Bombyx mori: one gene and its partner. The protein of the gene in region 2 purifies or fractionates together with the protein of the main gene of each other region. This does not show direct contact. Links are inferred from orthologs where the notes say so. Each region holds a gene or a part of one and is shown on either strand. Other genes may lie near its edges.

What was found.
Region 1: the proteins of prohibitin protein WPH (region 2) and stomatin-like protein 2, mitochondrial purify together in Homo sapiens (affinity purification with western blotting; 3 studies listed by BioGRID, with this or other methods). This does not show direct contact. The link is inferred for Bombyx mori from reciprocal best matches to the Homo sapiens genes PHB1 and STOML2.

The regions. Positions count from the first base shown.
Region 1 is NC_085125.1:7,768,356-7,772,664, reverse strand, and holds the start of stomatin-like protein 2, mitochondrial, read right to left. Parts: upstream 3,079-4,309; 5' UTR 2,783-3,078; coding exon 2,735-2,782; intron 2,661-2,734; coding exon 2,544-2,660; intron 1,987-2,543; coding exon 1,779-1,986; intron 1,208-1,778; coding exon 1,019-1,207; intron 795-1,018; coding exon 639-794; intron 349-638; coding exon 233-348; intron 1-232. Other genes in the region: coiled-coil domain-containing protein 112, read left to right, coding at 3,465-3,777. UniProt on the Homo sapiens protein: Mitochondrial protein that probably regulates the biogenesis and the activity of mitochondria.
Region 2 is NC_085110.1:5,298,717-5,303,184, reverse strand, and holds the start of prohibitin protein WPH, read right to left. Parts: upstream 3,121-4,468; 5' UTR 3,010-3,120; intron 2,768-3,009; 5' UTR 2,766-2,767; coding exon 2,678-2,765; intron 2,107-2,677; coding exon 1,945-2,106; intron 1,052-1,944; coding exon 870-1,051; intron 225-869; coding exon 1-224.

The DNA of each region.
Region 1 (4,309 bases), on a different chromosome or scaffold from region 2:
CAGATATCGTATTTTTATGCCTTCAATTTCTTGACCACACCCTTTTCCCCTTAAAATGTGTTTCGTATCCTTCTGTCATAGTTCTCGAGTACTTTCACCAGGTATGGATTTCGTGGGTCTTGTATAAGTTAATTACAGAGACTATAATTTTTTTTTATACACCGTATGGTTTCCTAAATGAATAAAGTAATAAACAAATATATATTTCAGAATTAATTTGACTAATACAAACCCTGTCGGCGAGTGCGTGTGCAATCAGTTTGAGCCCACGTGAGCGAGCCTCGGCCACCGCGAGCATCGCTTGCGCTTCACCCGCAGCTTTATTTATCTGCTCCTGCTTCTCTGCCTCTGTTCGTGAATTAATATTAAACATTAAACGATCTTGAAGTCTCATCTATAAAAGCATTACTGAACAATTAATTTATAGTGCTAATTGAATGTTTGAAAACAGATTAAATAGCCCCACTTATTTGACAAGTGGTGTAAAATACTTTGTGTGCTGGGTAATTGAATACTTAAATACAATTCAAAACAGATTTCAAAATAAATATTTAGTGGAGACGTATAGGAAGAGTAAAAGCACCTAATCTAAATAGGATTTGTCCTTTGATAATATGACGTAAAGAAATAAAACTTACCAGAAGCGAGTATCCTAGACTGGCGTTTTCCTTCTGCAACATTAATGTCAGCTGCACGAACCCCCTCAGACTCTAGTATGGCGGCTCGTTTCCGTCTCTCCGCCTCTACTTGCATTTGCATTGCTTCATGTACACGCGTTGGTAGTTTAACATCACCTACAAAAAAATATTTACTCAAATCAGTGGGAATTTATTATAATGAATTACACTCTATCAGAAAGGTTATGAAGATATTAAGATGTACATGTTGATAGGACAGTTGATTGCTTAAAAACAATTCTAGTTAAATAATAGATGAGCATGGATGAGCATAATGATACAAAGTAAAAACATTATGAAGTGTATATTACAATTCTTTCTTAAAATAGAAAAACACTCACGTATTTCGTATCTTAAACAAGTAATACCCCAAGCTTCACTGGCCTTGTTAATGGCGTGCACTATAGATACATTTAAAGATTCTCTCTCCCTGAACACTTTATCCAAAGAAATCTGCCCAATTTCTGATCGCATTGTAGTTTGCGCCAACTGTGTAATTGCAAATTCAGGATCTTCTACACCATATGAAGCTGTAATTGATGCCGATGCCAATAGGTTAGGACAATTTCTACAACTTATCAAATAACATACTAAAATTGATGGCATGCAAATTTTATTTATTTTGATTTGTCAAAATGTCAAATGGGTTTCAACACATTTCAACCACAAATGGAATCATAAAATTATTCTAATGTAAATTGAATTAAATATGATATAAATAAAGCATAAGAATATTTGGAAGGGAAAAATGAGAATTATTTTAATATTTTTGTCTCCGTTTTTGCTTTCTATACATTTTAAATTCAGCTATTTATGCCTGGAAAATTAAAAATTTTTAGTATTTTATTTACAATATTGTATTTATGACCTTTTCAGGCTACCTTAACAGTTTATTGATATTTAGTCTATGATTTTGCAAACAGATATCATCATTACAATATTACATTATTTATTCATCTTATTTTAAAGGGACAGGGCGAATGAAAAACACTTATTCAAACCTTATGGATCTTAGGTTAGTGTTATTCAATACTAATTAATAATCTACTAGTCTGTTTAGCAAAAATATATTAAAAAACTTCTAAAGGGTATATTACTCACCTAAATAAGGATCAATAATTCTAAGATAAAGTACTCCATCAATGCTCAATGTAACATTGTCAGATGTAATTGCACTCTGTTTAGGAACATCAATGGCTATTTCCTTCAAACTTTGAACATATTTTATTTTATCTACTATCGGCCATAAAATATTCAATCCTGGGTCCAAAATTCTATGAAATTTTCCCATTCTTTCTACAATCCATGCCTGAAATTATAATTTTTTTATACATTTTAAATTTTAACAATAATTTCATCATCAATTAGAAGAATAATGTCATTCAATAGTTTGATTATGATAATGCTAAAGTATCCAATTTAAAATACTGTTTTATATCATTACTCTTAAGCTTTTATTAATTTGTTATCATACTTTAGTTATACTAAACATTAATCAGTAATATTTTTAGCAAATACACAAAGCTGTATGACAATTAAGAATTCAAATTCTTCATTACAGGCTTAGAAAATTTCTAAATTTTTAGATTAAAAGATTCGAAAGTGTAAAATTTGTACCATACCATACAAAATATATTAATTGGATAAACTGGAGAGAATTGTTCTACACAGAACCGTTTGTTGGATAGCAAGAATTTGAAGCTATTATTTGCTACGTGATGTCAAGGAGCAAGCGTAAGACAGGGTAAAGTGGAGACAACTTGTGAGGGCCCTATGTACCAGCGGGGTACCCTAGGACTATAACACAACACACATTTGCTACAAGTGGTTTTTTTTTCATAAGTAACAATCAAAATTTCATTGTACCTCTTGTTGGGGAACAAACATAATTATTGTATTCAGTGGAGTTGTAGAACGACTTCGTACTGGCGAGATGTTATACAAGACACGAGCATTGTTTTGTAATTCAGGTAATAAAAGATTCTGCAACAGAATTTCAAGAGGTTATTTTTTTCAAATTTATAAAAACGTCTCTTATTTACGAAAATTTTACTTACCCGAAATGAAGCGGCTTTAGTTATTAAAAATCTATGTTGTGTAAACATTGTGAAAATATTTTTTCTATGAAGTGTCTTTTAATGAAGTTTAAAATAATATTTTCAACGTATTTATTGTTCTTTCATAAATTTCGTATGTTGTTTATATTCACACTATTTACAGACTAAATTTATATTTTTTGTTTGTTTGTCTCCCCAGACAAAAATAGGAGCATTTATACAACCACAACTAATTCAGAATTTCCTGACAAAATAGAATTACTATATTATCATCTGGCCGCCGAGACATGAAGTCTATATTATCTATGCGCCGAGACAATGCGATCCTGACGTCTGTCAGTTGGCTATGGATAGTTGGATGATGGGAAATAATTTTAAAAACACTAAGTATGTACATACATTACTACGTACAATTTAATATATTTTATTTAATTAAAACACATTATCATAGATGCTTGTCTGGATTCGCTTTTGGAATCGCTGCCCATAATAGAAATAATTATGTTCATAATATTAAGAGATTCAAAATAAATCCTTTGTTTGATCTCCTTGTTTCTATAGTAAATACCTAAATTAGGGAAATACCTAAAAAGGCATTATATGTCATGTACTATCTGTCCATGTTTAATTAAACTTCGGTTCGTGCCACTTACGACTGTTGAATCAATACTAAATAACATGGTTTCTTAGATACAATCGTGTTATATTTTTATCGAAAATAAAAAATACTATGTCTAATATTCAATGTACAATTTCTAACAGTGTAAAAAGTAAGGATTCTGATACAAAAGACATTGAAGACATAGACGAAGAATCCATCCTTGCTAAAATTAAAAGACTTAAAATCGAAGAGAATCATCTGATGCAAGCAATAAGAAAGCACAGCTATTCATTTAGAGATGCCGACGATGTGGCTACAGTCAGAGTGAACTACGATTCCCAGTCGAACAAAAATAATCTGGAGAAATCTATCCGAGAATTAAAAGATATGTTTGTGGAAATAAGAATGTGCACTAATTCTTCGGAAATTTTAAGGTCCATTGGTCAGTTTACAAAGTGAAATTAATATCCAATGACGATGTTTTAATGTTCGTATGATAGGATGACATATAGTCAGGATGGTAGTGACTTTGTGCAGGCTAGCCGTACTCTCTCCTCTAACGCCAGTAATTACGCAAATTGCAAATATGGGATATGGTATTAGATTTTTATTAGACGATGCGTACCTTCAAATTTAAAGTTGTTCTAAAACACGTGTTAGGTAAATATTCATAGGCAAAATTGGTATCTGTTTGTAGGAGCTATGGATCAAATCCCTGGATACGAGTTACAGTTCTATTCCAGCTGACTTAATGTGGAGTGGATGTTTCAATTATTATTTTAATCTACCACTGTTGTCACACTTGTCACATCGGAACGTATGACTGCTCCGCGTCTAGAAATAATAGGTTGGGGAAAAAGTTTCTTCGCATTTTTTAAGAAAATTCACAACATTTTTTAATATAATTTATTTACATATAACTAAAGTATGTAGGTACAATTTTGTTCGATAACTTTTTGCCATCTTGTAGGTAG
Region 2 (4,468 bases):
TGCGCGTCTCCCTCTGCAGCAATAACGGCAGCCTTCTTTTGTTGTTCAGCTTTCTCTACAAGGAATCTGGCTTTCTCTGCTTCTTGTTGAGCTACTTGTTTCAGTTCAACAGCCTGCGTGAATTCCTTTCCGAAGGTCAAGTGAGTGATAGAAATGTCGTCTAGGATGAGGCCGAATTGTGCTGCTCTCTCTGTTAGGCTGTCATTGACTTTTTGCGACACGATCTGTAAACAAAAATTATGTTTTGATTAAAAATTGGTCAACAATTTTGGGACAGTTTAAAGTCAAAGGAAATGGTGTTTTGATTGGTATGCTGAACTATGCCAACCTATGTGCTTAATGCTCTGTAAGATCAGTGACTGTTGCATTAGACACTTGGTAACATGGCCTGACTCATAATATGGTTAAATATGGGTAGGTGCTAAATTTTGTTATTGCCTTTCTAAGAGGAGCATGCGGCCCATCTGATGGTGAGTAGTCTCCCTCATGAGGTATAATATTAATAAGATGAAGTATGGAGTTAGTTCTAGTCTATATCACTACTTAGCACAATAAGTTCAAAGCTGTCAAGTTATCAAGTTATCAAGTTCAATGTCAAATTTCATAGCCATTATAGGTGCACTAGGCAAATTAAATTACCATTTAAATATTTTGCTGAAAAATCAGATATTCATATAAACTTAATACAAGTTTTATTGTAACACTGAGTTTAAGTTCAGAACAATCACATATTAAAATGAAAGTATGAATGTTTACAAACTGCATTAAAACAGGTTCCTTCAATTGAAAATTGGTAATCCTACAGATGATTCCTCATATAGCATAATAAGAAGTGGAGTATGTTTGTTTAAAAATAGCAAGACTTTCACCTCTCTTTGTGTAATAAGTTCTCCAGCATCGAACTGAGCAACAACTGCTTTCAGAACTTCTGAGGTAATAGATGGAAGTACTCTTTCATCATAATCAATACCAAGAATAGTGTAAATTCTTGGTAATTGATCAGGAACTGGTCTGAAGAGGATACGAAGTGTGATGTTAACATTTTGAAGATCTGAAATAAAATAAATGTTTTATTAAATTAACTACTGGTATTTTCATTATACAATGTAAACTCAAAAAAACAAATGGAAGTGGATTTATTAATTGAAGTTTTATTGAATAGAATATTTTTATTTGCTAAAATAAGAAGGTTATTTTTATCTAAAAGTATTTAAAATAGTTTGTAATTTATGTTGAGTTTATTACTCATTTTTGCTTCCTAAATTAGTTACCAATGATAATATCTTGTGAATTATTGTGCTGCACAATGTTTTAGCATGCATTAAAGTACAATACAATCTGCCTAACACCAGGGCATTTAAATTCTAATGAGTGTATTTGTAATATAAATGGATTTTTCATCTTTAATCTCAATTCATGTTTAATTTTTTACAATACAAGAGTATAGTCACATCATCCATATTGTTGCTTTATTATTCTTACAAATGTTGACATTCTGATGTTCTATCATTAAACATCACAGAAGTATATATTTTTTGGCTGATGTATCAATTCACTTGCCTTTGCTTTGCCATTTCATGAAAGTAAGTATGCAAACACTTCCATAATCAAAGAAAGCCATCAATCATTCATAAGTACATGTTACACATACAACTACTCATTTCACTTGCATTGGTACTGTTGTTCTACTTGTTTTTGGTGCAAAGAAGTCTTGCAATCTAATTTGAAGAATTATATAGCTTTTTTCACACTATAAATGGGACTTTAACCTTATCTCTGAAAGTGAATGGAGGCATACTTGCTAGGTTATGAGCTCTACCACTTAATACTAATAAAAATAACATAGCTTTGAAACCCTAGAACAGAAGTATTAAAGCCAATATGATGCATTATGCTAAAGTGAATACAGATTATAAAATTTTTGCATTTTAAGCATTATCTTACCTTTACTTCCAGTAATAGTAGGAACATTTCTGGGTCGAGACCTGATGTCAAATATAATTGGCCTCTGGACCCAAGGAATGAAGAAATGTGTGCCTTCACCAACAACTAGCTGCTTAACACCAGCAAATCGATCGAAGATAACAGCTCTGTGACCACCGTCGACTGGAAACAATTATCATATATTTATAAGGATCAGCATTTTTACATGTCGCATTTTCAGTGGTTTATCACAATGACAAATAATGTATTATTTATTTATATTACATAATCCTCTGTTTTGAAGAAATTTCTTAAAGATAAGTGTATTTTTTTATATAGATTTTGTTATCATCAATTAAGGATTTAATTAATTTTACTGGTGGTAGGTGAGTCCGCGCGGGTAGGTACCACCGCCATGACTATTTCTGTCGTGAAGCAGTAATGCGTTTCGGTTTGAAGGGCAGGGCAGCCGTTGTAACTATACTGAGACCTTAGAACGCATATCTCAAGGTTGGTGGCGCATTTACGTTGTAGATGTCTATGGGCTTCAGTAACCACTTAACACCAGGTGGGCTGTGAGCTCGTCCACCCATCTAAGCAATGACAAAAAAAATATAATATCAAAGTTTCTATCAAAGATACACAAGAGCTATTTTGGGGATCCAAGCAAATGCAACTTTTATGTTTAGCATACAATACAGCTAGCAAGCTTATGCAAGGTTATAACTGATATAGTTTAAGTAAAATTATTTACCATTATACAATGCAGAATTGACAACACCTCCAACCAATGCCACGCCTAGACCGACTTGCCCAATGCGATTGAAAAGCTGTGCAGCCATATCTGAAATGAATAATTTTTCCATTTTAATTTTTTAAAATCTGAACCATGAAAGTCACTAGGTTACTTGATTAGAAATAAGTGATCGTTTTTTTTAATAAGTCGCTTAGCACAGAATGCATGATTATGGACAAAACAAACATTAAAAAGTAAAAAATTTAATTATTACCTAATTTCACAAAATGTTACTTAACCTAAAATTTTTGGAAATATAATCTTTAATAATTGTTAATTTGAAAGTTTACCTTCAAAATTTTAATGTTTTAACTCTTATTTTATTGTAGACGTAACAACTAACATAAAAGATTGAAAAATTATAGTTTCAAACGGGAAGACAAAAATTGTGCCGCAACGAGAGAAACATAGATTATAACAATAATAGTGATGTTACATATGATATTCTGAAGTGTCGAATCAGGTAGACTAGAGTCCTTGTAATTGTTCATGAACTCGACTTAAAATATTCGAACACAGAGAAATTGAGTAAATTTCGTCGAGAAATATTTATATACAAGGTATTTATGGTTGTGGGATTCATGTTATAAGTATACAAGAATAGGTGCCACAACGCTGCCTATTTTGGCCGCGAAGCAGTCCAGCGTTCTGGTTTGAATGGTGAAATAGAATGATTAAGGGTGAGACCGATATATTAGTATTCATTAAGATATTCTTAATACAGCTTGTATTCGTGTGTCGGTAATCCGTCGCATTCTGATCTGCTAATATTCCGTATTCACTTTATTCATAACACTTAGCTAACTCACATCGGTCGGGTTGTATCTATCACTCGAAAATATACTGGCATACGCCGTACGATGCTAGTGGGAATTTTTAAATACATTACGTTTTAATGTTTGATCCTTCATTTCTTGATTCAACTAAAGATTCTACTCAAGGCAAAATAGTGCATTTTTACATTTATTAGAATAAAATCGGGGAGCTTTATTTTCATTATTTTAATTTTATTTTCTGTTCCCTTCGAATTAGTTGGTTTTAAAACGATGATTTGGAAAACGGAAGTAGGTAGTTGATATTGTTTACCAATTTCATAAATTAAATTATTTTTACACAAAACGTAATACGGCCAGAACTAAATTAAGTGTTTTACGTAATAAATTATGATGAAAATATATTTTTGCGGTGGTATTTAATTATCTTCTAAGAAATTCTCAAAATATAAATAAAAGTTTGATTTTTGAATCGAAATGACTTTCTAAACAAACGGTTCGTGGATTATAATATTATAACTGTTGTGTAGGTACCCACTAGCCACCTCAGTACCGTGTAAGAGGATTTTTTCAAAATCTGGTGAACTCATTACTGACCGACGTACCAGTCTTTCGGTAGAAAAAGTAAAAAAGCTGATGTTTTTATGCACCAATAAGAAATAAATAATATTACTAACTTGTTGTTTATATTAATATACAATGTTGACCAAATTCTGATTTAATAATAATATTCATTTTAATGTATATAATATTATTTGTAAAATATTTAGTATGAAGTCAAATTCCTAGATACAATATACTATTTATATTATTAATAACTAATTTATGTGTATTATCTATGATTATTAACTTATTTCACGAATACCGTATTAGGTTTAACTCGTTTACCCGTTTTATCGAAGTATATTAAGATATCAGGATATTCACGTATTAGTTAAGGTATTATAATATTACATAATGAATATATTAGTATTAG